Linked DNA regions of Macaca fascicularis. The protein of the gene in region 2 interacts with the protein of the main gene of each other region in a biochemical or structural test. Links are inferred from orthologs where the notes say so. Each region holds a gene or a part of one and is shown on either strand. Other genes may lie near its edges.

Region 1 (10,001 bases), on a different chromosome or scaffold from region 2:
AATCCTAGCACTTTGGGAGGCCGAGGTGAGCGGATCAAGAGGTCAGGAGATAGAGACCATCCTGGCTAACATGGTGAAACTCCGTCTCTACTAAAAAATAAAAAAAATTGGCCAGGCAGGGTGATGGGCACTTGTAGTCCCAGCTACTTGGGAGGCTGAGGCAGGAGAACGGCATGAACCCGGGAGGTGGAGGTTGCAGTGAGCCGAGATTGCGCCACTGCACTCCAGTCTGGGCAACAGAGCAAGACTCCGTCTCAAAAAAAAAAAAAAAAAAAAAAAAAAAGGAAAGGAGAGAAGAAATAAAAAAGAAGTGCTCCAAAAAGGGCTAGTGAGTATGGTGTTTCTAAGACAAGAATGATCTTCAGTGAGAAGCTGAGGACGTGATCACTGCCAAGCATCCAAGAGAAGGCAAAGGTTTAAAGGCAGTTGCTTACAAAGCCGTCCTGGGTGCTGCTCACGTTACTGCAAAGATCAGGCTCTGATAGTGCCAGCACTGTGGGAGCTTCTTGGAGCTACCATTTTTGCAGTCTGTCATTAGAGCCATCGGATTTGAAACCACTTCTCTGTTCTATGACCACATAATTGAATCTGATTGATTCAGTCACTATCGCCCTCCACCTACAAAAGGGTAAAAAGACTATTGATGAGGTAAATTAGCCTACAAAGAATCTATTTCTAGTATTCCTACCTCTTTGATTACATTATAACAGCTATCCAGTAGAGGATCCTTAAATGAGAGCAGACTAAACATGGCATTTTTTGGAGAGTGTTATCCTGCCGGAAGAGTAGTTCAATAGAGTTTGCTTAAAAATCATTGCAATGTAGCAATGTTATTTGGGATGCATTGAATAAAAAATTATGAGATTCAGGAGCAATATTCTAGATGGAAATTTAAATGGTGCAGAGGGTGTATGTGAAGAGGAAGAAACAGAAATTAATTTAATTCCATTTGCTGATGTGACTGTAGCACAACTATTTTTAGGTATAATCCAAACAGTGCATATCTTCTCCATTTTGATTAGTAGAAAATTGGCAGGGAGTCAAAAGAATTAGTATTTCTCAGCACATTATGCCAGAAATGTACAAATAAAATGACATTATCTGTGCCAATGTGGTTAATTTGCTTCTAAGGTTTTTTTTCCTTCAAATAAACGAATGAGTCCAGCTTGGTTAAAAACATTTTTAAAAAAGTCTTTCACAACTGGCAGCAAAAGTTGTAGAATAATTTTTCTTTAGATCCTTGCTGAGAACCTCTTGCAAAAAACTTAAATGTTAATATTGCCCTGATACTTTGGGTGCAGAATTTGTGTCTGGCAATTCTATATACTGCCAGAGGAAGTCAGCACATTCAACAAAATGTGAAATTAAAATAAGCTAGGAAAATGTGCTTAACAAGGAAAGATTTCACAATAGCCACTTAAGAGTTACTAATAATTCCAATTCCAAAGAAAGCATAGACTAAGAAACAAATAAATAAACTCTATTTGCAAAGTTTTATATAGGCAAGTTCACCAAAGGATGAAGCCATATGCTATACCAATTACACATTTCTACGTCGAAGAGAGAATTTATATATCCTGGAAAATCTCCATTGAGTTCTTGTTAGTGTTCAACCTGAATGTAACTTCCAATGTAGCAAATTATGAATCTTGATCAGATTTTCCTGCTTTGATTTTAAGGTTTATGCTTTTGGTACATTGATACATACAAGCCTATGGGTAAGGCTGCCCTTATGCACACTCAATGCCCTCTTCCTGTTTCTGCAGTTCACATTCTCACCAGATTAAGCAGGACTGGCTGCTTTCTCCTCCCACTACCATCACTACTGGGACTGACAGCCCAGCTTCCCCACATTTCCTATTATAAATCAATGGCTGCCTTCTTCAAAAGAGACAAAAAGTAGTCTTCATGGGGATTTGGAATCACTGACATGGTCTGTTTCTGAATCCATGTAATTCTCAGTTGGAGAGCTTAGGAGATCACACAAAAATCTTTTCTATTTCCTGCCAATACATAGACACCGGCCCCAAGATTATAGTGGTTTCCTCTAACTCACTAAAGTGACTAAACCTGTGTACTAAGTAGTTAAATTATACACATTTGTTCTTAAAGCTTAAAGGACTTTCATGATTTTAAGACCTGAGTGATTTTAAGACCTGAGATTTGACAGGCCTGCATATATGTTTTGGGCTGGGAAGATTTTTTTTATTTAAATGTGAAGACATCGAGACAAAATAAGCAAATAAATAGGAAACCAAGAAAATGAAGCATTTACCTGGTACTTCTGTGTTTAGTATTTCAAACAAAGAAGGACAAAACCCCTAAGAAAATGCATCTTATGTACTCATGGTCGGGGGTGGATAGAAATTAACCATATTTGGTTCCTAGGGAAATTACAGTGACATTTCATCCTGAGACTGATTTTACATTCTTCAAAACATGTTTCTTTAAGTATTTATCTTTGTATTCTTAAAGAAGCTCTCCTTTTTCCTTTTTATTTATTTATTTACTTTTTGCTGGAAAGGGGTTAAACTTCATAGCAGCTTTTGTTGAGGCTGTTACCGTTCATGCAACCTTCCGCTGGTCTCTAAAACATCTACGTCACTAACCTTTCTCAGAAGAAGGTTGCCTTGTCTTTAGAGTATGCCGTTGCAAAAAAGAATGTTCAGTCTCAACTTTTCCTTGTTAGAGAATACTCTGCTCATTTAAAGTGTAGCAGAAGCCAGAAGTTAATATTCTTTACTTTGGCTTATTTACTGTACGGTCATGAAATAAAAAGCTTATTTAAAAATATAGTAAGTACTTTAAATATATTTTGGAGAAAGTAAAATTAATCTCAGAACAGATTTGCACTATCCTTTCCTTTAGGAAATAACTTTATGAAAAATACCCCATCCTTCGGGTGCCGTAATTTTGTTAGAAACTTAAATCCCTTCACACTTGCTTTTATCTATGATCTGTCCACCCAGAACTTCTGGCAAAATGATTTATTTAACTACATAAGAGAAAAAACATTTACTTCAGAAGTCCTTTTATACATTTTTGCTTAACCATGAAAGCATTTTTCATTCTAAACAGCCTCTGGAGAAATCTGCACACACTGATCATCTGCAGGCTGTGATTTTCTATTGGAAAACAAAAATAAGCTGTGGAAGCCACTTATTGCATTCCAAGTAGGCAACTGATCATTCAATGAGTTAGTCTTTCCTGCATTTCCATGAAAAGTTGCAGCTGAGTTAAATGACCGCATCACTTTTTGTTTTTTTTTTTAGGAGATACGCAATCCCAAATGTCACTTCTTAAGTCAAGTGCAGCAGATGGGATCTTGAAAGTGCCTACAAGTAGTCTAGAATACCTTGAATCTGGCTGTGAAAATTTAGGACAAATCTGCAGCTCTCAGTAGGTAAACACCTTATTTAGGTCTGGAGGCATTTTGCTATGTTATTGAGTCATGAAAGTCTATTAAAAGAGCTCTATGGGAAATCCAGTCTATATTTTGAACAAAACAAACTGTCTTTTTCATTATCACTGACCCTTTACAGACACACAGTACATAATCTTGATTGTGCTTCATTGGTATTTATTGCACATGGACCAATTCCTCACACAGTAGTTAGTTGCACCAGAGTATAAATACTTGGTAAAACACACAAGAGGAAGTAGAGTTCACACACAAGTGCTAACTTTCACCAGCAAATTCACGTGGGCACTTGGACATAAAAAAAAAAAATAAAAAATCCTTAAGATAATTATATTTATAATATGGATACAGTTACAGTACCATGATAAAGGAGTATAAAAAGGTATTTTCCCCAATAAATCATTAGCTCAATAACATACTAGACAACAGAAGTAGAGTTTGAATTTTATTTTAGTTTTTAAGATCTGCCCAGCCCCTCCCCCTTTAAAAAATATTTAATTTCTTTTTGTGCAAGTAACATCTCCTGTGGACTTTGTAATTCCTAACACTGTGCAAAAATGGCATTTTGAACCACTCCTTTTTTTTGTTGTTTTTGTTTTTATCCACATGTGCAGTAATCTGAACTGTTTCTCTCTCTCTAATGTCCTGTCTTCAATTGACAGAGTCACATGTCACAGAGAGAGGCTCTGCGCCTGGTCCTTCCAACTAATATTGATACATAAATAAGCTGTTTAATATAAACAAGTCGTTCTATCTGCTGTGCAAACGCACAGTGTGAGGTAGAAATCCCTCAGCCTGACCACCCAGGCGCGCGGGGGACGGCCGGTTTGCCCTACACAAGGAAAGCAAGGTGGGGCTTGTTCCAAGAAGAGCTTAACATTTCTTGAAACGTGAATTTTTTTTTTTTTGCCTCCATCCTTTCTCTTTGCTTTCATGACAGCAGAACTCATTACTTAGAAATTAAAATGAAATTTATCTGGAAAGCAAAAGAAAATACGTCTTGACAAACTGTCATTCTCCTCCCTCTGGCTGGTAGACTGCTCCTGTTCCTGGGAAAGGGATAGGAGCCACGCTGATCGATTTTAATCCCCTCCTAATGCTTCTTCCTTCCCGTAACCCACCCAACTTCCACTCCGGTCCTCGCAGAGAGTGTCAAAAACCAACGTGGGGGAAAAAAAATCTAAAGATGCATCACACGCACATACAAAAGAAGGCCGGACCACAAACAGAAAAAAAAAAAAAAAAAAAAAAGGAAGAAAGAAAGAAAAAAAACCAAGGAACATCAGCAAGCCACTCTCCCATCCCTCCCCAAACTTTCCTTTTTGTGCAATGGTCCGTGGCTTTTCTGTTTGCCTCGGATGATTCAGACGAGGATTGTGGGCTTCGAGTTCACCTGCTTTCGGTCTTGAGTAAACACAGATCTCCTCGTTCCCCCGGGAAGTCGTTCCGGGGCGCCCGGGCTCTCCTCCTCCCCGGGTGCCCGGCGTCCTCGCCCGGCGCCGGGCCCTACACCTTGGACTCCGAGGCGAATCCGGGGCGGCACGGCTCGTCCAGGCTCGAGTCGCTGTCCGCCGCCGCCCCGCCGTTGCAGCCGGCCCAGGGCTCCAGCAGGCGCGCGGGCTGCGTGGCCCCGACGACATCGTCGTCGTCGTCGTCCGAGGCGGCCCCGGGCGACGGCGGGGGTCCGGGCCGGGCCAGACAGCCCGAGGCGCGCGGCCGGTCTCCGTGGGCCGCGTGGCGCCGGCGGGCAGCCCTGCGCGCGCAGCAGAGCAGTCGCTGGAAGGCGTTGCGGAAGTCGGGGCTGCGGCAGTAGATGATGGGGTTGAAGGCCGAGTTGGCGTAGCCCAGCCAGTTGAAGAAGACGAAGAGGCGGTCGGGCACCAGCTCGCGGTGGAAGGCCTTCACCACGTTGGCCAGGAAGAAGGGCAGCCAACAGAGCGTGAACACGCCCATGATGATGCCCAGCGTCTTGAGCGCCTTCTGCTCGCGCAGGGCCACGAGGCGCGAGGGCCGCCGCTTACCCGCACGTCCGTTGACCAGCGGGGCGGTGGTGGCAGCGGCGGCGGCGGGGCGCGGGGGTCCGGGCGGCGGCGCGGGGACCGGCGAGGGCGAGGGCGAGGGCGAGGGCGAGGGCGGCCGCGCGGGGCCGCCGAGGAAACGGCGCTCGCAGCTGTCGATCTTCTTCACCTGCTTCTGGGCCTCGCGGAACACCCGCAGGTACACGAAGGCCATGATGCACAGGGGCACGTAGAAGGAGACCACGGACGAGGCGATGGCGTAGGCCCGGTTGGTGACGAAATCGCAGCACTTGGGGTCGTTGTAGCAGCGGCGCGCCTCGTCGCTCTCCGCCCGCCACCAATGCATGAGGATGGGCAGGAAGGACACCAGGGCTGAGATGGCCCACACGGTGCACACGAGGCCCCGCGCCCGCGCGCGCGTCAGCAGGCTCTGGTAGCGGAAGGGCGAGGTGATGGCGAGGTAGCGGTCCAGGGCGATGACACACAGGGTCTCGATGCTGGCCGTCACGCACAGCACGTCCACCGAGGTCCACAGCTCGCAGAAGAAGGAGCCGTACTCCCAGCGGCCCCACACCACGATGGTGGCCCCGAACGGCACCACCAGCAGCCCCATGACCAGGTCGGCGCTGGCCAGGGACATGATGAAGAGGTTGGTGAGCGTCTGCAGCCGCGGCGTCTTGGCGATGGCCACGATCACCAGCACGTTGCCCGCCACGATGAGCAGCACGATGAGCGCCATCAGCAGACCCATGCCCGCCGTCCACTGCTGCGACAGCGGCTCGGGGCCTTCGCTGGCGGGAGGCAGCAACGAGGCGGGCGGCGACGCGGGCACCAGCAGCCGCGCCGCGGTGGCCACGCCGTCGGGGAGCGGTGCGGCCGACGACAGGTTACCGGGCTCGGAGGCGCCCAGGACGAGCGCCCCCGCGCCCATGCCGAGTTGCGGAGGCCGGAGGCGGGGGGTGTGGCAGGGCTGGGCCTTGGTTGGGGAACACCCCAGAAGCCTGGACGGCGGGGTGCGCAGAGGGAGGTCGCGGCCGGGTCAGGGCAGCCGCGGCCCGGGGCCGGAGGCATGGGCGCCGGGCGCCTTTCCCGCCGGAGCCGAGCGCTGTCGCTGCCGCCGCCGCCGCCGCCGCCGCTGCTGCTGGAGCCGCTGCCGCTGCTGGAAGAGCCGCCGGGACCTCAGCATGTTTCTGAGCGCGCCGGGCCCGCAGCTCCGGCACCCAGCACCCACCCCACCCCGCTCCCACTCCCCAAGCCAACCCCCGGGGCCTCGCGTCAGCCTCCTGCAGCCAATCCGGGCAAAGGCACGCCCCCGTCTGGTCAGCCCCCCCAACCTCCAACTCCCCGCACTCCCCTCCCGTTGGCAATTGAGCGGCTCCTGAGAGTCCCGAGCTGATCGTGGAGCTAGTGCCTCCCGTGCGCCCGCGGGTTCTTGCGGACGCACCCCTTCCTGCGCCCGCTGGTTCCTGGTCCCTGTTCTCCCGTGCCCCCTCCCGCGCTCGCCTCCCCCCTGGGGCCCCGCCCCCTCTCTCAGCGCCCACTCGCTCTCGCACCGGCTCCTGCGCCTCGTTTGCCTCCTGCGCGCCGTTTGCCTACAGCAGTCGGCTGCCTGCTGCGCCCCCGCTCCCTCGGCATCCCCTCGACCTGCAGTGCCGGGGTTCCCTGCGTAACAGTGCGCTAGCTCCCTTGAGCGCGGAGGGGACCTTGGTGTTCAGGAAGCGCCAGAGCGCCTGGGACAGCTTGTCCGCCAGGCTTGGAGGAGTTTGCCCTGCGAGCTTGGTTGTGATGTGGGGCAGCCTAGCAGGATGTGTGTAAAACCCTTCCCCCGTCAAGACGGGACCCAGCCAGCCTGCGTCGTGACAGCTTGGGGGATTGGAGGTGGGTGTTAGTGGTTAGAAGAAACTTCCCAGCAGAGCGGGTTGCTGGAGCTAAGCGCGCATCTGTCAAGAATGCTCTCTGGGCGCTGTTCTTGCAAGGATCCTCTGTTGAACCTCAAGTGCAGTAGATGTGGAAAGGAAGTGAAGGTTTGTGCATCTAACAGCTAACGCTGAGGGCCCGCTGGAATCGTACACACTCCTCAGTCCTAGCTAATGAATGTGTGAGCATGATGCAAAAATGTGTGCTCACGATATAAAGGGAGAGTCTTAGGGAGACAGAAACGTTGAGATACAGAGTAAATGATACCACCGCGAGGGGGGAAAACGCGTTTAGTTACATTTTAGGCTTTTCAGTGACAACACCTGTATTTTGTGTTTTATTACTCATGTGATTTTATAATTTGAGCTGGGTCAATACAAACAAAAAGGTACTGTCGGTTTATGCTGACGTCATGAACTGCGATTTCAGATTCCTTGGTCTGCGTGCTTGTTTTCTCCTTTGCCCAAGTTCCCAGATTCTCAAAACTCTGACATTAGTTTTGGAGGGATAAGACAAGAAAACATATAAATACTCCAGAGGATTAAAATCCGAAAGCATTTAAAGTTGTATCTGTGCTTTTTGAGTTGGCAAATGAATCGCTTTGAAATTAGTGAGTTGTTAACCTGGCTTAAAAGGATTATATTGGGGGTGGGGGGACGGGAAAGCCATGAATACGCAATATGGCAGGACTGCAAGCCCCTTCTCTAATTTGGCTCTTGTAGTGTCCTCAGCTCAGGCCTGAAATAAAAAAAAATAAAAAAATAAAAAAAATTTAATTGAGTCCTTGAGAAGTAAACAGCTTCTAATTGTTTATGTAAGGGTGCATGAAAATGTTATATAATGCTCACCGGTCCTTCTAGCATTGGAATAAGAACAGTGTCTGTAATGAACATCAACATGTTCCTTGATGTTGGTCGTCAGTATGACTAAGCTCATATCCTTACCTTGCAAGGAAAGACCGACTTCCACAGCTGTCCAGGTCAAAAGCAAAAAGTAATGTTTTTCAAGTTTATATAAAATCAAGCAGTTTTAACCACTTTCTCTTACATAAATGCAAACATATGAATTTGCTTTAGGCCCAAACTTGATCATCAGCGCGTTAAAACTGGGGAGTGATTTGTTTATTCACTCCTGCCCATGGCTTATCAGCTGATTTTGCAACTTGGGGAGGTTGAGGAGGGGTGGCCAGGAAACAAGAGGAGTTAGAAAGAGGGGAGGAGGCCGGGCGCGGTGGCTCAAGCCTGTAATCCCAGCACTTTGGGAGGCCGAGACGGGTGGATCACGAGGTCAGGAGATGGAGACCATCCTGGCTAACACAGTGAAACCCCGTCTCTACTAAAAATACAAAAACTTAGCCGGGCGAGGTGGCAGGCGCCTGTAGTCCCAGCTACTCGGGAGGCTGAGGCAGGAGAATGGCGTGAACCCGGGAGGCGGAGCTTGCAGTGAGCTGAGATCTGGCCACTGCACTCCAGCCTGGGTGACAGAGCGAGACTCCGTCTCAAAAAAAAGATAAAAAAAAAAAAAGAAAGAGGGGAGGAAGGAGACTACACCCCAAGTTATCCAAGTTACTGCAAGCTTGAGACTCCTGGCTTCTTTCTTTTTATTTTTTTTTTGAGACAGAGTTTCACTCTTGTTGCCCAGGCTGGAGTACAGTGGCGTGATCTTGGCTCACTGCAACCTCAGCCTCCCGGGTTCAAGTGATTCTCCTGCCTCAGCCTGTCAAGTAGCTGGGAGTACAGGCACGTGCCGCCACACATGGCTAATTTTGTATTTTTAGTGGAGACGGGGTTTTACCATCTCAGGCTGGTCTCGAACTCCTGAGCTCAGGTGATCCACCCGCGTTGGCCTCCCAAAGTGCTGGGATTAGAGGCAGGAGCCACCATGCCTGGCCTCCTGGCTTCCTTCTGGACCCACAAGGGGCAGTCTCAAAATAGCCAAGGGATTGGAAGAAGTTGAAATTGACGCTGCCCAGGAAAGGAGTTCTGAGTGCTGAGCTGCAGGGTGAGGCATAGGGAATGTGGGGAAGAGGCTTTTCCTCGCCATCTTTCTGTCAAGTGGTGTTACCGGAATAGAGTGTGCCAACCTTAAATGCCCCCGAAGGGTGGAAGGCATTGCTTTTCTGTGTGCGATAAGGCCAGAACTTGGTCGTAGAGGTTCAGGGCAGAAGCCAGATGCCAGTAACTTTGTCATATCACCATTATATATATAAACACACCGTGACATTGGAATTGTTGGAAAACTTTCTTGAAACTTTTTTTCCCTGCTCATTCAGAGATATATCAAGTTTCTCTGAATTTCTGTATAATACATTACATTATAAACACTCGAAACCAGGAGTACCAACACAGGGATCTCGAGAATTCTTGGGGATTTCCTTCAATTTTACTGACAGAAGAGTTTGGAATAGTTCATGTTCAACTAGAGTTGGTTGTCTAATAAAAATAAAATGTTCTCAGAACTCCTTTAATTCCTACATTTTATGATTGGTGTTTTTTTTTTTTTTTAACTTTATTTTTAGCCTAACACTTTTTGTTCTTAGGTAAGATCAAGAAGAAAAGGTTCAACATATCAACTTTTACAGGTATCGGATATTGTAAGTTGAATAAAACTCCTTCATTTCTTCATTCTTCACTTGCAACTGTTAA
Region 2 (9,884 bases):
AGAATGCAAATAAAACATAGAACCTGGAAAGTTGTGTTTCTGCAAAGGATACATGGAGACATAAATAAAAGCTGTGTTGGTAACAGAAATGAGAATCATAAAATGCTTCCAAGAAAGAAAGTGGGCCCAGAGGTATTTCTTTGAGGGTGAGCAGGCAGGGAAAGGGTTGCATTTCGGGCAAACACAAACCATGAAATGGCCTAGTGAGCCAAGGAAAGTAAGGCGTTCAGCTTTGGAAGAAGTAAAGGGTTGAAAGGAGAAGTGAAGACACAGGCCTGAGCCTTAGGTAGGACACCTGGGTCAGCTGTCCCAGTCCCCAGACATGGTGGGAGATTGGCTCAAGCCACTGTACCTTACTGTCCTTATCTGAACATAATTACATTTCAATGTTGAAATTCCTGTTTTAATTATATTCCAAGGAACCTAGAATAGATGGCATAAAGGGGCCTCCTTTCATTTGTGTTCATCTTGGAGAACCCACATTAGCTTTGTTGCCCTGGATTCCAGTCTCAGAGTACATGCAGAAATATGGCTGAACAGTTAAAAAGTGTGGGAAGGAGGATCCAAGGAGGATAAGGAGTTTGGACTTTGCTGTGTATTTATTGGGCGGCACTGGGCGGTTTTAAACACAGAAAAAAGGAGAGGTTTCAGAAAGGTCTCTTGCATCACAATAGAGATTTTTGAGATAAAAGGGAGAAAGAAAAACAAACACAATAATCGTGGAGTACTGATATTGACAGACTGGACTCAGAAACAGTGTGGATAAGACACTGTGTGCCCTACAGTACTGTAGTCAGCAAAATAATGGTCCCTCTAAAAAAGGTACCACAACTCTACCTCCTATTGGTAGTGTGATTTGCGGCAATTTAAAAGCCCTGATCCTCAGTTTCCTCATCTGTAAAAGAAAAAAAAAAAAAAGAAACAAAGAAAGAATAGTAATGTCTTAAGTCAGGATCCCCAGGATCAAACTCTGAGATGAAGATTGTTTCTGCAAGTGATTTATTATAGAAATGCTATCGGGAAAAACTAATCATGTACCACAGTAAGCAAGATAGGGAAGGAGGTTTCAGGCAAAATCCTAACATCAATATAATTCTACAGGGGAGTCTCAGAGTGTAAATTACACCTCAGGTTTTCTTGCTACTAGAGGCAAGAGGGCTGGTCTTTTATACTCTATAGGAAAGTCCTTGGCAAAGGGCATCTTGGGAAAGAAGTAAACTTGCAGGTGGTTTTGTCTGGCTCTCTGAGTCAGTAGACAAAGTGGGTCTAGTAGTGTTTGGGCATTCCTCCAAAGAGAGTCTCGGGGAAGCCTGCAAGAAGCAAAAGAATGCAGAAGCTAGAGGAAGGATACTCAGTTCAACCAAAGGGATCCTAGGAGATTTGGGTGGAGACCATGTCTGCCACAAGCATCTATCCCATAGAACTCTTCTAAGAACTGAATGCATTCATATCTTTCTTTCTTTGGCTTTTAGGATTCCTAAACTATTTTTCTTCTAGAATAGTATGCAATATTTAGCGTTCTGCTCTACACTTGGAGTGCTTAGTGATGAAATAATTTTTTCTTGACATAGCATAAAATCCAAAAAGGGTAAATAAAGTGAATGTGAGGAATACCAAAATAGAGAGAAAAAATATAGTCTGATCCCAATTTCTGACTCCAAGGATAGTGCTTTCCTCAGGGTTCAACTTTTATCAATCAAGATCCAGTCAAAGCGTGTTAACTATTAGGAGAGGAAAAAAGCCCACTAAAGAACACAGCAATAGTGATTGTTGGGAATAGTCACTATCTGTCAGGCTACAGGAGAGTACCCAAAGAGAGAATAACTAAGAAGAACTTCCCCCTACCCACCCGCCACCCTACTAAGCCTGAGAGTAGGACCTCATTGGAAATAATATGGCTGTGGTCCACTTAATGATCCAGAAATTTAAGGTGTCACACACTGGGCTGCTGAGGAAACCATCAGCTGTGTTTTCAGTAAAACTTGCTAGGAAGCCATTCCACTGACATGCCAGCAGCACTCCATAGAAAGACACACACTAGGGAACTGGCCAAATTTACTGAAGATTATGTAACATGGCCTTCCTGCACACCACTGGTCAGAAAGTCACTCACTGGCCACCACACGGTAGGAGCAAGCAGGAAAGCACTGGAACCAAGAAAAGGAGCCCCTTTCTTTCTGCAGTGTTTCCTTAGCACCTTCTATTGACAAACCTAAACATTGTGCCAACTGACCATAAAGACGTTTACAGATTTCAACTCTAATGTCACAATTTAGGGCAAAGAAGGGTGGCTGTGAAGTTGAAGAGTGCTAAATTAACTGGCACACACCCCAGTGACACGTCTGGGATTTGGGGGATGGGAGAAGCATGCTGTTATGCCCAAATCCTGCTCCATTTGTTTACTTTTTTCCTAATTGCCCCCTGAAAGAAAGCGCAGGCCCAATCTTTTGGGACACTACATACTGAGAGCTGGTATGACACATGGTAAGCGAACAGAGAGTTCAATTCAGTAACTGAGACAAAGTCTAGAGCTGAACCACTTGGGTCTGAATGTTACCTTCACCATTAACTAGATTTGTAGCCTTGCAAAAGTTCATCCTTGTATACCTCAGTTTCCTTACCTGTAAAAGGAGATAACAGTACCTACTTTATCAAAATGTCAGGAGAAATGAAGTATTATGTGTAAAGCCTATAGAACAACATCTAGCATGTAGTTAGAACCTAATAAATATTAGTATCTTCCATGAATGGTAGCTTGTCATTTGGTTTTACAATATAAATATTCGGTTCTCATAATGAGTTTCTATTTAGAACTATGCCTCATAATGCTAACACTCAACTTCTCTGGGTGAGATTAGGCTTTGCTATCAAGTCTTGCCTACTCCTGGGCATTGCTTGCAGATCTGGCTTCAGATCCTGGCACTGCCCCTGGCTTACTGAATAAGCTTCACTAGTGCAGCCAACTTATGGAGGATCTGTTTTCTCAAGTGAAAAAAGACACAAGGTTAAACAAATCATCTTTAAGATCTCTTCCAGTTCTGACTACATTTGATCCCCCTCATCCCCAAGTAGTAAGTTATACCTGAGGGAAAGAGGAAGGGAATTATCATTTCGAACGCCTACTCACCTGTGCCAGGAGAGCACTGCTGTGCCTGCTTTCCCTGATTTCATTCTCATCACAGTCTTAACAGATTAGTATTTTTAAAGTCCACTTAACAACTAAGAAAGCTGAGGCTCAGGAAAGTCAGTTTACTCAAGATCACATTCTCAGTAAGCAGTAGAGTTTGGATTGAAATCTGGTGTTTCTGTTTGTGTCGACTCAACATTTTTAACTGTACTGTTTGCCTCCGACATCACCTTCATCTCAGACATTAAGAATCCTACCTGTTCAGTGCTTTTCATCCTCTGCCTTAAAGAGATAAGTGGGTGTGCAACTTTTTTTTTGTCTGAAACATATCATTTAAAAGTTAAGCAAATGAAATTCATTTACCAGTTACAGGAATTAAAAAAAAAAAATCACTGTTAATGTCTCACAGAAAATAGCTCTCCTGTGGAAATCAGCAGCCTCCCTGCATCCTTTTTTGCCCCTATCCTCCCCTCTCCTGGATGCAAACCTGGCGAAAAGAAGGGAACACTGGTTGGGGTCATCGAGCTGAGTTCCAGCTCCGACTGTGCCATTTTCACTCTCGGGAGCCTTCTCCCCTTTCTCTGTGACTAAAGGAGTGTTGGGCCAGATCGTCTTAAGGTTTCTTCCCCAGGTACAAGCCGACTCTGGTGGCTTTCATGGGCAGGGGAGCGCCTCTGCCTTCTCTCGGCCGCAGGTCCCTAGTTAAATTGTCCATTTTCTCTGCGGAGGCTGCTCATTGCATCCGTTACCTCCACCCCTAGCCCTGTAGACCCTTTCTGTTTCCCCTGCTTGGGAAAAGCGAAGCCCCTTACCCTTGGATAGCCTTTCACTAGACTACCGCAACCCTCCGCGAAATTCCCCTACTGGCGGGACGCGCGGGAGGGGGCCTGCCCGGGGGAACGCGAGGCTGCTTCCCCTCTGCGCAATCAGGGTACGCAGCCTCCAGTTCTCTAACTTTCTCCTTCTCTAAGAGGGAATTTCGAGAACTTTGAGACAAATAAGTGACTGTATAGAGGAAGACATGAAACCTCTCTACACAGTGAACTCCCCCAGGCCACAAGTCTCCCAGGGCTCCCAGGCCTTCTCCCGCAATGCCCCGCTGGGTCCCCCGCCCCAGTTCCTTCTCACGGCAGGATCCCACGCCAGGAGGCTCGCAGAGCCCGAGATGTGGCACCAAGAGCGCCAAAGTCCAGGTCCCGCTAGTTCTGCTCCATAGGAGCCCAGGTCGGAGGAAGTCAGCGCGTCCTCCTCGCACAGCAGCCTGGCGCGCGGCTCGGCGGCACAGAGGCTGAAGAAAGGTCCGCACTGGCTCGAGGCCCTTCCTGCCGGCCTCCCCACGCCGGGCCTCGGCTCCCCTCCTTCCCGGCTCCCGCCTCCTCCCGTAGGCTGCCAGGCGGACCCAGCCTGCCTCTCTCTCTGCCTTCACTACCGGGTCAAGCTGCGGAGGGAGGGAGGGAGGCAGCGGCGAAGCCCTCCCTGGCTCCCCACCCGGCGCGCGCGCCCCTCCTCCCCTGCCTCCTCCCCTATGCCAGTACAGTACAACTAGTACACACACACACACACGCACACGCACCCTGCCACTGCAGCTGCCATGGATATCAGCTAACAACACACACCCAGGCGCGCGCGCGCGTTCCCACTCGCACCACGCAGGAGTGGCCCCCGGCATCCCTACCCTCCTTCCCAACCCCCACCGCACCCGCTCACCAGCTCGGTTACTGCTAGCTCCCGCTGCCGCCGCCGCCGCCGCCGACGCCACCACCACCGCTTCCTCTGCTGCGGGGCCACAGCCTTGAGTGTCATTCAAGGGACAGCACAACCTCACCCAAGCTCTCCTACCTCTGCCCAGCCGTCCCTCTCATCCTCCCCCTTCCTCGTCCACACTCCATCCAAAGAAGAGGGAAAGCACCGAATAGAGGGGGGAGAAGGCAAAGTCTGCTGTTCTTCCCCCTGGGCCCCCTTGCTCCTCCATCCTCATTCTCTCACCACCAACCCCCCTAACCCCAAGGAGCCCCAGGAACTGAGGCGACTCACCCCACTGCCATGTCCAAAAGCTTGAAAAAGAAAAGCCACTGGACTAGCAAAGTCCATGAGAGTGTCATTGGCAGGAACCCGGAGGGCCAGCTGGGCTTTGAACTGAAGGGGGGCGCCGAGAATGGACAGTTCCCCTACCTGGGGGAGGTGAAGCCCGGAAAGGTGGCCTATGAGAGCGGCAGCAAGTTGGTGTCGGAGGAGCTGCTGCTGGAGGTGAACGAGACCCCCGTGGCGGGGCTCACCATCAGGGACGTGCTGGCCGTGATCAAACACTGCAAGGACCCCCTCCGGCTCAAGTGTGTCAAGCAAGGTGAGCGCAGCGGCTTGCTCAGTGTTTTGCCGGGCGGTGGGACCGCTCGGGGCGCAGGGCAATGAAAGGGTGGGCGCGCATGTTGAAAGGGGTGTGTTGCGCGATGATGGGGTAGGGGCCAGAGGGGACCCGCAGTGCAAGTGAGTTTCGCCGGGGATTCCACTTGGGGGCTAAAGGGAGGGGAGGGGCAGGTTGCGGTGTGGCGTGCAACTTTGTTTGCTCAGTTAGACCCTCCCCTTTGGAAGGTGCTCGGCCTGGTCTGACCTCCTCAGAGATCCTGGGGCAAATTGAATGTGCGTCAGTGGCATCACCCTAAGTGGATGAAGAGCTTTTGGGGAATGAAGGAAGGAAAGAAAGAAACAAGGAAAGGGAGGAAGGGAGAGAAAGAAGGAAGGAGCAACTTTAGGGTGCAGCGGCATCACCAGCGGGTCTGGGAAGAGAGGGTGGTGGGGTGAGCGGAGAACTGCGTCCAGCGTTTCTGGGGCTGGGCTGGAGACGCCTGGGTTCCCAGCTGTCCCTTAGGGATCCGTGAGCCACTGCTGGCGAGGAAGGGAAGGGACAAATTGCTTTGGGCGATTTGACGGGTCTTCTGTAACTTTTCCCCTTCTTCGCTCCGCTGTCCCCCTCCCCCGCCCACGGTCTTGTCATGTGGGCATCGCGCGTCACGTGCGCACTGACTAACCCCTGCGCTCACCCCTAGCCAGCCCAGCGGAGGAGGCTCCGGAAGAAGGCGCGGTGCTAGGAGCGCGGTCTAGTGCTGGGCGGGGGTCGGAGGAGATGAATGGTTGTAGGCAGGACTTTACTCAGAGGTTGCCCTCATAGAGTGGAAGTTCTCTGTGGTTGGGCTCTCCTCTGGCTCCGATTTGGGGGGCGTGTTTTGGAGGAGGAGCTGGATGAAACCCTTGCTGGTTCCAGCCCAGGCTCCCTCAGCTCCAACCTGACTTTAAAGAACCTCGATTGGAGGCTGTGATGTAGATTTGGAGAGACTGGAATCATCCAGAACTCTCTGTCTTTGCTTGAAAGAAAATTATGGTGCAGAAGGAGAGAAGAGTGAGATAAAAGTTTCAATAGAGGACAACTTTAAGTAGAATAAAGTAGTAGCTTTTTTTTTTTTCTTTCCCTCACTGCACAATTCATGTGCGGTATGTATGGATATTTGTGGCACAGGCATATCAGCCTAAGGGTTTGTTGTTGTTGTTGTCGTCGATGTTACACTGTTTGTCCTGACTCAAAGGTGGAATTGAGCATGTCATTACCTGCATTTTGCCACTTAATCGTGATCAACTACCAAGAAACGCTCTTACGGAGATGTACTGCACTGTAAAATTATTCTCTAAAAAACTTGTTTTAAAGTAAACAAGAGAAAAAGGAGTCTTGGACAAAATTTCTCAAATGTAAATTGCCATACAAGAAAATGTTTTTCTTGGGGATTCTTGAGTATTAAGAGTATTAATTAATTGAGATAGCTATTATAAGTCAAGGTAGCTCCATACTATACAACACTGAAGGGATATGAGTTTGGTAGAAAAGAAAATAGAGTATCTTGATATTTTTGAAGATAAGATACCTAAGGTTCAAATACAAAGCTTCATGTTAACATGTTCGACGTGAAAATAATACCTTATAGGAATAGATATAAATGTTAAGATCTTTGGGTACAAAAAGTCCACTATGCAACTAATGAGCATCGTTTTGTTGGCCAAATGCTTGGTATTTGTCGTGGAACATGGCTGCAAAAGTTAAGTGTTATTAAATTGGACTTAATAGAGTCCTACAAAGGGATGCCCTATTATGGTTTGCAATGATCACCACATCTTAAATGTTGTGTTCAATTCTGAGCACGCCTGGTTGAGGAGGATGTTGGCAAACTCACATTAGCAAAGAGTAAATTCAAAAGAGAAAGAAAGATTATTGTGTATTATAGATGTATTCTATGAAACGCAGTGGAAAGACTTAACTTGGAGAAGTGAGAATAAAAGCTATCATTAAATAGCGAAAAGCTATCAGGTAAGAAAAGGAATTCTGACTATCCTGTGATAGCCCACAGGACAAAATGGTGATAAATCTATGAGAAATTTTAAAGGATGAAGCCGCTTTACTTTGATTAAATCATGAGCTTTCTAACAGAGTTTTCCAACAATTCGTGAGCACCCTGTGATGAAGTTCCCGTCATTGTGGGTATCCATGAAGAAGCTGAAATGATCATATGCCACGGATTCCTATATAAGATGAGGACCTGGATTCGATATTATTTGAATCCTGCCATAATTCGATCTAATGTGGTCTGTGATCACTCTTGTATTGAATTTTATGTGGAAGATTATTGCTTTTAAAACTAGAATATATGCTTATAAAGTGATATATTGAGGAGAAACTCTCTTTTCATTCTATATTAACCCTGTTTCGTGCTTCACTGGTTCATTGATGATAAATTTGTATAATGATATTCACAGAAACCCATAGGAACCCGATTCATCTCCTGAATCACTATTGACAAAAAACAAAACAAAGTTCCTTTTACCTTGTGTGGACTAAGTAATTCTCTTGTACTTTCTTTTAAATATGATTCATATTGCTATTCTAATCTTTTCCTTGTTAAATCATAGATTAATTTTATTTATGATTATAAAATGAAAATTTCAGAAGCTTTACTATAGTGCCTGTGTGTCTTAGGTTTCAATACAGATGTCTTTTACTGGAAAATCATTTAGAAATTCTTGGCCCAGTAGTTATATTTTGAGAGAGGCAAAAAACTAGCATAGCTGAAAAACTTAACCATGTTTGTTTAGCAGTTGCATTTTTAAAACATTAATGAGATTGATTTTTGAATATTCATTCTAACATTGGGTATTATACAGAAACTACATGCATATCATAGTTTAAGGAAGATTTTATAAAGAAAAGATAATATTTGAATAATAAGAATATTGTTACTAAGTGCACCAGGTAAAATCGCATTATTTACTCAATTTTTATTCACTTGTTTGCCTAATTTTACATTACAGTTATCATAATTTTAATCTGTCATAATTTTAAAAGGAGGTGAGTTGTTGGGATTTTAAGACATATTACATAGTATATATATATATATCATAGTGTTTCTACACTGTTTAAATACCTGCAAAACAATTTTTAAAACTGTTTAATTAAATTCAAGGAATTCTCTTTTTAATTTAAGCTTTCTGCTTTTAATCCACACAGTAATAAACCACATATTAAAATATGGCTTATTGTCACACCCAATTACTTTTTATGAATGATGGCATTTTATTTATAATAATAAACTTTCTGCACCAAAGGATGTAATGCTAAATTAGCAGTAATTCTATGATCTCATTAATGCATCAGACCCAGTTGAAGAAAGTTTTTTGAGTGATGTTGAGATCTATATGGAAGTGCTAAAGGTCTTCTTTCCTTTTTCTTTTCCCTTTTTTAAGGTTTGCCACTAAAGTTCACAGCAGCCAGTTACACAGGCCTTTGTGTCCTACATTCCTTGCACTATGGCTGCTAATGCCTGTAATACCGCATAAAGACCTACATAACCTGGACTTATTTTCCCATTTAGGATCTCACAATGGGAAATAAAAGGCAAAAAAAAAAAAAAAAAAAAAAAATCTAATTCTTCCCATGTGGAAGATGGGCCAAATAAATCCTTTGAAATTCAGTTTTAGAGAAGATCTACATTGCTCTCCCTCCTACTGCTCCTTTCAAAGATACCTTCAAAGGAAAGTAGATCCACATTTATTAAGAGTCATACTTTCTTCTTGACTGACTTCAGGCTAAAATAATAGAGTCAAATCTCTATACTTCTTTGTATTGAAAAGGTAAAAACAAATTATGTCAAATTTTCTGTAAAGATTGACTTTTTTCCATAAAAATGTGAGATATATGAATAGTATTGTTTAATAAACAATAACATTGTTTAAACATTTTGATGAGTTTATTATTTTACAAATAAAGTACCATTAATGTTTTTAACAAGGTTAATGAGACAGTTCTCTTGGAGCATAATTTATAAGTGATTTCAATGTAGTTTTTTGGTAGGTGTAGATAACTTAAATGGTATGACCTCAAATGTTAAATATGATTATTTGCTTTTTATCTGTACTATCTCTGTTCTTGACATTTGAACTGTTTAATCTTTTGGCACGTTTATTATGCTCACTTTCCTTTTCATTGCTTGTAACTCACAAATTCACTTTCATAATGAGAAAAGCATATTCACACTTGACATCTCTGATTGATTATAGTTTAAGTAATGATTTTCAAATATATAGCAGACCCTGGCAGAATCATTTTCCTCAGAAGGTGGGGTAGAGCAATGGTTAAAGGTACACTCTCCTAAGTAGACCACCTAGTTTTGATTCCTGAGTATGTCAGTTAGTGCTAGCTGTATGAACAAGATAACTAACC
Region 3 (9,206 bases), on a different chromosome or scaffold from region 2:
CGGGGCTCCTGGCACTGCGTTGACTTTGTCTGTTCCTGGTGTCCTGACGCTGCAAGCTCTTGTGTGCGCCTGGGTGCACAAGTGCACATGTGCATACATATGCCCCACCCATGGGCTCTCCTCCCTGGTTAGAGAGACCCAGAGACAAGGCCCGGGCTTCAGTGGGGCCCTGTGTCGAGTTCTGGTGTTCCACCCACACCCCCTGCCCCTCCAATGCAGCACACACTGGCTTCCACCCACCTGCGCGTTTCTGTGCCTGAGAACTCGCTCTGGCCCTCTGTAGCCTGATGTGGGAATGCAGAAGAGTTCATGTCCCCCTGGGAGCAGCCCTCAACCCACAGCTGATGGGAGATGGTGGATAAATACCCCAGCTCCCTCACCTGTTGGGTGGGATGAGGGAGGGCTTCCCCAGCGGAAGGGAGCTCTAGGCACCCGCAACAGTGTTGGAATGTTGGTCCTGCCCCAGAGGCCACCCAGGGCTACAAGCTCCAGCTCAGAGTTGGGGGCACTAAAGCCAGCAGGCAGGGGAGCCCAAGAGCGTGCTGCCCACATCAGAGCGGCACTGGCCAGGGCTGGGACATACCTCTCTTGCTCACAGGCTACTGTGTCCCTCTCTAGCCTCCCCGCTTTCCCCTGCCTTCCTTGCCTGGCTTTACTCCCTGTTGCCCTCTCTGTACTCCCCTTCCCTCGAGTTTGCACAAGAAACCTCAGGGTCTCAGGGATGGTCTCTTGTGGTGCCCAAGCGGAGATAGCTGCATTTCTGGCCTGTCCGGTGGCCCAGCACCCTAATTCTGCTTCCCATTCCTCAGCTCAGCTCCTGCCCAGGGCTGGGACACACTCCTGTCTCCTTTGTTCCTTCCCCTGACCCATGGTGTCCCTCCTCTGCATCCTTAACCCTGGTCCTCCTCTCCCTCTACTTGACCTCCTCACAACAAGCTGTCCCTAACTAAGGGGGCCCTGGCCAGATCCACCTGTTCCTCGAAGCCCTCCCTTCTGCCCTCACCCCTCTCCTGGCCCTCGGGGGCTCTCCTGGCACCATCCTTGCCGGGGTGAGAGTGGGGTCAGGTTTCCCAGCAACACAGCAGCCCCTGAAAGCTGGGAAATGGCTCCCACTGCTGTGAGACACCCTCTCCATCCAGCCCCCTGTGGAGTCCAGGCCTTCACAAATGCTGGTTGAAAAGATAAATATTATTATTTATACCAGCCACCCGCCTCACAGCCGATACCCTCATCTTCTAGTGCCCCCCAAAGCCCTGCTCTGGCTGTCCAGTCCCTCTGGACATGGGCAGGTCAGTGGGGGCTGTAGCCAGTCCACACCTAGAGTGTAAGCAGCATGTTGTCCCAAGAGCCACTTGGGCAGGAGCCTTCTCCTGGCTTGTTTAGCTAGTGGTCCTGCCCCAGAGGCCATCCGGGGCTACAAGCTCTGCCCCAGAGGCCGGGGCTGGGACACCCCTGGCTCTTGCTCACAGGCCACTCTGCCCCCTCCAGCCCCCTCTTCTCACAAAAGAGGAAAAGGGGCAGGAGGTGACTGGTGTGGGGTGAGGGTACTGCCTGTGGTTAAGTGAGGGGAAGCTGGCCTGGCCTGCAGGGTAGTAAGTGTTCAGGATGAAGGCAGCGAGGCAGGGCATTGCTGGTGGCAGTGCCACAGTGTCAATGAGGTTCTGGAGGCCTGGGGGGTGACTCTAGTGCTGTGGCCACACATCTGACGATGACACCTGACTTCTGTCTCCAGGGTTCCTGAGCGAGGGCCCTTGGTTCCCAGTGGTGTCGGAAGGCATCACCGAGGTCCAGAGGCGTCATCATGGTGAGTCAGAGGCTGTCACGAGTTGCCCGTGATGCCCCGGGGCAGCAAACGGCCTCCCCACAGTTGCCGAGGGCAGCCCCAGGTCCCAGTGGGCTGGACTTCTTGTGCTCTGGGAGAAGACAGCCTTGGAGGGACGCGCGTGCTGCTGTGGGTGTCTAGCAGCCCATTTCCATTCATTTCCACGTCCCTTCTCCACGGAGGACTGGGCAGGGAAGCCAGAGGCCCCGGGACTGGCCCAGTCCTGTAGATGACTTTCCACTCATGAGCTACAGTCCTGCACAGCTGCAGGGGGAGAGTGGCCCCCCAGGCTGTCAGTGCCAGCTGCTCCTGGGGGAGTGGGCATGAGACCTAACAGGTCGCGTCCACAGGCAGGGTGGTCAGGGAGCCTGGCCATCATCCCCCCAGACACAGCTCTTTGGGGGCTGCTCCATGACCTGCCAGCTCAGACTGCTGTGGACTGCTTGATGCTGTGAAAGCTGACACGGGTGGGGGAGGTGGGGATGGACATGGCGCGGGCCACTCGGGCACGGATCGAGTGCTTGTCCTGCCACCGGTGCCATCTCTTCCGGATGGCAGAGCGGACCTGTGGGCACAGGAAGGAGCATGACATCTGAGCCTGGCGCTCAGGACCCCCTCCCTCCCCTGGGTCGGCATGAGCAGCTGCTCAGGTAAGAGGCTGTGCAGGTCAGCTGAGTACACAGAAGTCCTCAGGAGGCGATGGCACTCACAGCCTTAACATGGCTGCTTTGCATATTTGCCGGAACAGGTTTCTCAAATGTCCTGGGGAAGGGGCACCCTTTTCTAACCCACGCGAAGACACCATATGGCCTTTGCCATCAAGGCTTCCTGCTCTCAACCCACACATATCCCCTGCCCAGGGCTCAGCCCTTCCTGGTTGTCACAGGCTCATCAAAGATACTGGAGCTCTGGCTTCCAGCCTGGTGCCAGCGGCCTCTGAGAGCAAAGGAGAGAGCTGTCACTGTGGGAGTGGACAGGTGGGAGGGGCCGGCCTGGGGCTCCCAGCAGCATCCCCCTAGGGACCTAGGAGGAACAGGGAGGGAGAGAGCCAGCCCTGGGAGGGGAGGAGAAGGCTCTAGACTATCGCCAGCCCCAACAGGCCTTGCAGCCCTGAGCCCCGCCGCAGGGCCCCCAGGTCCTCACCTCACTGTTGAGGAAACAGTAGAACACAGACACAAAGAAGCCCTGGGGAGGAGAGAGGAGGCGTCAAAGGTCGGTCACAGGTGTTGCCCACCCAGCCTCTGGGCTGCCCCTTGCTTCTCCCTGGCCTCCTACCCTCCAGGCATCTGCTTGGGAGAATCCCCACCCAAGGAGGTGCCAGTGTGCCCCTCCAGGGCTGTACCTGGAAGGATTCCAGGAAGGAGTTGAAGTAGATGAAGACGACCCGGGAGACCTCATCCTCCCCGGGATTGACGAAGAACAGCATGTAGGTGATGCCCAGGAGGGGCAGCAGCACCAGAGTGGCTTTCACAGCCTTCCTGGGGTGGGGCAGGTGGGGAGGCTTGGAGTCACAGCCCACCCCAGGACTGGCTGCCCGCTGGCTCAGCAGAGGGCCAGGTCGGGGGAGGGAGTGGCAGGTCTCTGGCACGTGAGAGGCATGGGGAGCAGGGGTTTCATCAGGGGGAGGCCTGGGGGAGGTGGTACCCGGTTACCTGTACTGAATGGTCTCAGACGTGGTGGATGCCCGGAGCTTGGTCATGAGGATGCGGACGATATTGAAAAGGAAGATGAAATTGATCTGCAATTTGAGCACACCAGCAGGCTGGAGTGTGCAAGAGGCTGGGGACCCAGGCTTCTCAGTTCTGGCCTCTCTGGCCTCAGTGCTCCTGCTGTTCTCCCTCCTCCTCAGGAGCAGCTGCACATCCCTGGCCCATGCCCCCTCCTTGGGTGGCCCCCACCTCTAGGCAGAGGGGTCCTTTCTGTCCACGGTTGGCATTGATCGCCCCTCCCCACTGGGCCCTGTCTCCTGCCCCTACCCAGGGTCTTACCAGCAGGACCAGGATCATGGGGCCCTGGTAGATATAGTCGGTGTACACCCCAGGCCTTTTGCCAAACCAGCACCTAGAAGGCCACAGAGGAAAGGGGAGGAGTCATCATCTGCATCTGCCTCGGTGGCATGGGGAGGGACAGTGCTTGGCCAGGATAGGACTGGGGCTGGAAGCCAGGAGGTAGATGTCCCAATTCCAACCCTGGCAGAAGGTCAAGTCACTTGATCCCACTGCCAAGCCTCAGTTGTCCCATCTGCAGAATGGACAGCATCCTCTGTGATGAGATGCAAAGTTGGAAGCAAGCATCGGGGCAGGAGGCAGACAGTGGGAAAGACTGCGTGGCCGGGAATGGGCGTGAGCTCAATACGCAAGCTGCATCCTTGGCTCCTCCTCACGGTCCCCTGGCTGTGGCTGAGGCCCAGCATGTCCTCTGGGGGGCTGCTGGTGGGAGTGGTACCACACGTGTCACCCAGTGGGCACCCAGCAGTTCTCAATCTCAGCCTGAACCTGTCCAATCGCAGCCCGAACGACCTTGAGAGGAACATCTGCACAGGTTCTACCTGCTGCAGGGGGTAATTGCTTTGCATTTTCCTGAGTGTCCCTCCAGCAAGCTCCAGGGAGGCCTGGGGAGTGGGTGGGGACCAGACAAACTGGAAGCCCTTATGTCCCCGTGGGTAAGAAGACCCCCAGTGGCTAGATCTCATAAGCCAGAAATTGAGATTTGTATACGAAACCTTTGGATTTTTTAAAGCTTGGCTACAAAATCGAGTTTCCAGAAAACACCCTGCCGGCCACACACAGCTTCTGTGGGCTGGGTCCAGTCCTTGAGCCTCTGGTCTGCAAGTTCGTTTCTGCTTTCTCACACCCAGATCCCCTCTGTTGCAGTGTTGAATTTTCACCACCAGGTGGGGCTTCAGAGCCGCTCAGACTCACTTTCTCCTTTAGCCCAAACAGTTTTTGTTTTGCTTTGTTTTTTGAGGCTTGTGGAGTCTTGCTCTGTTGCCCAGGCTGGAGAGCAGTGGCACGATCTTGGCTCACTGCAACCTCTGCCTCCTGGGTTCAAGAGAGTCTCTTGCCTCAGCCTTCCCAAGTAGCTGGCACTACAGGTGCGCACCACCACACCCAGCTAATTTTTGTATTTTTTTTTAATAGATATGGGGTTTCACCATGTTGGCCAGCCTGGTCTCAAACTCCTGACCTCAAGTGATCCACCCGCCTCGGCCTCCCAAGGCCTCAGCTAGCCTGAGTCAGGAGAGAGTCAACCTCCTAAACACGCAAGATAATCTTCCAGGCTCCTTCGTCAGCCCAATGAAGCCATGCAGGCCCCCTCCCCTCCGTGGGGTGAGGAGAGGGCTTGTCACTGTGGTGGAGGCCACTTGGACGCCAGGTCAGTCAGTCAGATAGGTTCCTGGGAACACCTGTTTGGCAAACAAGGTCCTGGGGCTCCCCTGCCATCCACGTCCACCTTTTCTGCCCCCCCCTCTCTCAGTGGTTCTCAATCTTAGCTGCACATTAGAATCACCTGGGCAGTTTTCAAGAATTCTGGGTGCCAGGCCACACCCCAGACTAATTACACCTGACTCTCTGGCGGTGAAGCCTGGGCACTGGTACTTTTCGAAGCATCCCAGGTGATTCTAATGTGAGCCAAGGCTGAGCACCACTGCAGCAGAAATCAAGTTTCCAGGCACGACTGGAAACACCTGAGTCCGTTTCATAAGGAACCAAAGAACTTCAGAGCTGGAAGAAGCCTCTGGGATCATCTAGGTCCACTTCTGTTAAATTCACGGACTCTTCTATTAAGATGTCTTAATATTACGAGAACACATTTATACAGCATTTGCTCTATGTGCCAGGTCCGATTCTAAATGCTTAATATAGATGGACTGATATCACCCCACAACAGCCCTTTGAGGAAGTATGTCCATTTTATAGATGAGGAAACTGAGGCACGCTGCAGTAATCCGTCCAAGGTCACACAGCTATTTAATGACGGAGCCACGATTCTGAACCTGGGCAGTCTGGCTCCAGGCTGCTTCCTGTGTAAGCTCAAGGCAGATAAAGGAGGCTGGATCCTGTTTGTCCAGTCCCACCCAGGCAGAGCACAGGCAGGGACCCTCTGAATGAGTCCAACCCCCCAGATCCCTCCCTTTACAGATGCAGAAGCCATGGTCCTGAGGGGAAAGCCAGCATGGCCCAAGGCCCTTGGGAGTGTCACCAAGCTAGGCTGGGAGCCTAAACCTTGGGGGCAGGAAGGGAAAGGAGGTGACTTACTTCTCATTGTCGTAGTACAGCTTCCCAATGGCCCAGGCCACAATGATGGGGAAGGGCACACCTGGGGGAGAGATGGGCTGTCACAGAGCCCTCAGCGGGGGCTGGGGAATGTGGGCCTGGAGGACCCCAGTGCAGCCCAGGCTCCAGGCGGTCTAGGGTTACCCAGGGTGGATCTCAAACTCACACACCTCCTTCAAGGTGCTCCTGCTGCCCCCCACCCCCAAGAGGAGCAGAGGGCTATGGCACACACCCCACTGCCCCAACCCGACCTCCATCCCTCAGGCCCCCCAGCCCTCTGGCCTGAGTCTGGGTGAGGAGACGGCAGCACGGTGGCTGCCACTGCCCAGGCTGGGGAGGTGGCTGCCCAGCTCACCCCAGCCGATGCAGATGAACATCCACTTGCGCAGCCGGTCGGTGGAGTAGGTGAGCACGATGGCTGTGTGCAGGTAGCAGCCCTCACCGAACATCCAGAAGAAGTTGGTCACATGGAAGTAGTTGTAGGCGGCGGTCACCAACCTGCACCAGACCTGCCACCCCACCCCCAACCAAAGATGATGATGAGGGGCAGGGGTGGCACCAAACCCTGGCCCTGGGCCTCCCCCAGGCAGGACGGGGCACACCCTGGGATCCCACTCCTGTTCTGTGGGCTCCTCCTCTGCAGGGCAGGCCCACCTGGGCCCCTTCTCTGACGTGGGTTTGGCCTGACCTGCTCCCCGCTCCCCCGCCAGGACGCACCACGTTGCTCTGGTGGACCTCAGGGCTCATGGTTAGCTGCACCACGAACCAGGTGGCGTTGCGCAGGATGAAGGCGGAGATGAGGTTCCAGTGGATGATGTTTCGCAGGCACCGGATGCTCCTGGTGCAGCAGGGCAGGTGGATGATGGGAGCGACAGGAGAGAGAGGATAAGGGGCAGGCCACCCACATCACCCCAACCCAGATGTGTAGATGAGGAAACTGAGGCACAGGGTAGGGCTGACTGGCCAAGTCACACAGGGAAGTGACAGCAAGGCTCTCCTAATGCCCCATGGAGCCCTTCCTGCCTGCAACCCACCCAGACAAAAGCCCCAGGCTCTGCCTGGCACTCCATGGACCAGGGCAGCTGGCTTCCTGGGGATGCCTGCTTCCCCTGGGGGTGCCTTCCACTCCCTGCCATTCCAGGATGGACAGTCACAGGGGTCAGCCTTGCTCCCAGCCTCCAGCCCTGATGCTCGGCTCCTGATCCCAACCATCCCCATCCCTGGCTCTGCCACCTGCATCCTTGGCGGTAGTGCTGGGGCCCATGTACTTTCGAACCTGAAATGGGTCACCACTCCATGGAGCCCCCACCTCCAGGGCACCATCTGCCTGGTCACCCCAATGGGTGCAGCCCGTCCTGGGTGTGGGTGACATAAAACAAGCTTTGTCCCTCCCCACCATTCCAGCAGCTACTGCGGAGGGGGCAAAGCGGCCCTGCCAGAGGTTCCCGGAGACCTGAGACTCTCAGATAAGCCAGGCCCTACCACCCTCTCCCAGCAACCCCCACCCCGACCTCGAGCTGCTCCTCTCACTTCTCCACCCTGCTCCTGCTCTAGGGCCGGGGGACAAGAGGACGCAGTGCTGGGGTCTGCTCACCTGAGCCGCAGGAAGAGGACAAAGGCCACCAGGAGGGCCACCAGGGAGATACAGTGGCCCAGGTAGTTGATGATGACTGCGACATGGTAGTGCACCTTGCTTTTTTTCTGGAGCAGGAGAGAGGGGCAGAGGTGAGCTTTCTGCACAGCCATGCCCTTGCGCCTGCTGGATGGGAGCCGCTCTATGAGGACATTGCCTGGGGGTGGCTGGGACGGAGCAGGTCATGATCTCAAGGGCCACTCCCCCTTCCTGAGTACCTGCTGTGGGTCAGGCCTCGCTGCAGAGCAATGCTGTCCAGTTTGAGGCTCTGTCTGTCCCTGAATCCCATGCTCTGTTCACTGCTCTGTGTTGTGTCTGAGTCTCCACATCACGTGGGATTCCCCACTCCACACGGACGCCCCCTCTGCACGCATAAGCGTGTGTGGCCGGCTCACAGGTGCGCCCTCACAGTCGCATCTGCCCATGCTGCCACCCGGTCGGAACACCAGGTGGACCTCTCAGCTGCAGAGACACCAACCTCCCGGGATTTATCTTCTCCACCCATTTCTGAACTGAGTCACTACCGTCTCGGCCGCCCTTGAATCCCTCCTGCTGCAACGCCGCCTGCTCCTGTGAGCGAGGAGGGGCCGGACAGCTGCTGGGCTCTGGCATCCACAGAATCAGCCGAAAGCACAGAACAGTCTCCTTAGGCTCCATAACTCACTTTCCAGGGCCTTCCCCATCCCTGGCCCAAGGGGATCTGTGCAAAGTGAACAGGATCCTCTCCCAGGACTGGAACACATTTCCCGGGTTTATTTCCTAATGAATTTAATATACTGATGGAGGTCACTGCCCTCCTCTTTACAGCAATCTTAAGTTCCAAGAGTGATGAAGCCTTCCCATTTACAGAGGATTTTCATATCTGTTATCGTCTGAAACCATCAGGGCAACCCCATAGGGGGAGCCGGAAGGGCTTCTGGGCTTTAGTTTGTAGGAAAACAGCACAGAGGTTATGTTGACGCACTGGAGGTCGCGCAACTTCAAAACCACCTCTTGCCTGCACGTGCAGACTGGCAAGGTACAAAGGCTGCAAACAGGTCCCCAGCCCATAATAGGGGACTGGCCAGTCCCCATGCCTAGCTCTCTGCAGACTCCTGCCCCAGAGCAAAGCCCCCATCCACACTTTTATAGGTCCCAAGAAGCAGGGCCTAGAAACCAAGAGCTTGACACGCAGTCGAACTCCGAAGCAGTTGTGTGAGTGAAGGAAAGAAAGACAGGTGTTGAAAAGCAGGTGGCTTTGGGAAAGGAGGGGTCCCTGGCAGCACCTCCCTCCCTCCCCGTTTCCAGGCTCTGGGGTGGGGCTGAATGATCATGAGGCACAGAAGCGGGTGACATGCAAGCGCCGAGAAGTGGGGAGCTCACAACGGCCCTCATCATCCTCTCAGAGCCACCAAGGAGCTACTCCACAGGCCTTCCTGTTGGAATTACAGAACCCACACGAAACCAGAGGTCAAGTCCAGCCCTATCCACCAGG

Evidence for each region.
Region 1: the proteins of MAGI2 (region 2) and ADRB1 interact in a test that uses a peptide from one of them, tested with the Homo sapiens proteins (4 studies listed by IntAct, with this or other methods). The link is inferred for Macaca fascicularis from reciprocal best matches to the Homo sapiens genes MAGI2 and ADRB1.
Region 3: the proteins of MAGI2 (region 2) and CRHR1 form a complex in vitro, tested with the Homo sapiens proteins (2 studies listed by BioGRID and IntAct, with this or other methods). The link is inferred for Macaca fascicularis from reciprocal best matches to the Homo sapiens genes MAGI2 and CRHR1.

Annotation. Positions count from the first base shown.
Region 1 is NC_088383.1:123,084,479-123,094,479, reverse strand, and holds ADRB1 (beta-1 adrenergic receptor), read right to left. Parts: upstream 6,632-10,001; 5' UTR 6,371-6,631; coding exon 4,928-6,370; 3' UTR 3,560-4,927; downstream 1-3,559. UniProt on the Homo sapiens protein: Beta-adrenergic receptors mediate the catecholamine-induced activation of adenylate cyclase through the action of G proteins. This receptor binds epinephrine and norepinephrine with approximately equal affinity.
Region 2 is NC_088377.1:141,972,798-141,982,681, forward strand, and holds the start of MAGI2 (membrane-associated guanylate kinase, WW and PDZ domain-containing protein 2), read left to right. Parts: upstream 1-4,796; 5' UTR 4,797-4,834; coding exon of another isoform or gene 4,835-4,918; 5' UTR 4,919-5,161; coding exon of another isoform or gene 5,162-5,170; coding exon 5,171-5,471; exon of another isoform or gene 5,472-5,643; intron 5,644-9,884. Other genes in the region: uncharacterized protein, read right to left, coding at 3,385-3,446, 4,256-4,796. UniProt on the Homo sapiens protein: Seems to act as a scaffold molecule at synaptic junctions by assembling neurotransmitter receptors and cell adhesion proteins. Plays a role in nerve growth factor (NGF)-induced recruitment of RAPGEF2 to late endosomes and neurite outgrowth.
Region 3 is NC_088390.1:67,415,737-67,424,942, reverse strand, and holds the end of CRHR1 (corticotropin-releasing factor receptor 1), read right to left. Parts: intron 7,801-9,206; coding exon 7,694-7,800; intron 7,455-7,693; coding exon 7,368-7,454; intron 6,938-7,367; coding exon 6,817-6,937; intron 6,609-6,816; coding exon 6,455-6,608; intron 6,143-6,454; coding exon 6,082-6,142; intron 3,884-6,081; coding exon 3,811-3,883; intron 3,561-3,810; coding exon 3,475-3,560; intron 3,301-3,474; coding exon 3,165-3,300; intron 3,008-3,164; coding exon 2,966-3,007; intron 2,388-2,965; coding exon 2,247-2,387; coding exon of another isoform or gene 2,198-2,246; 3' UTR 1,171-2,197; downstream 1-1,170.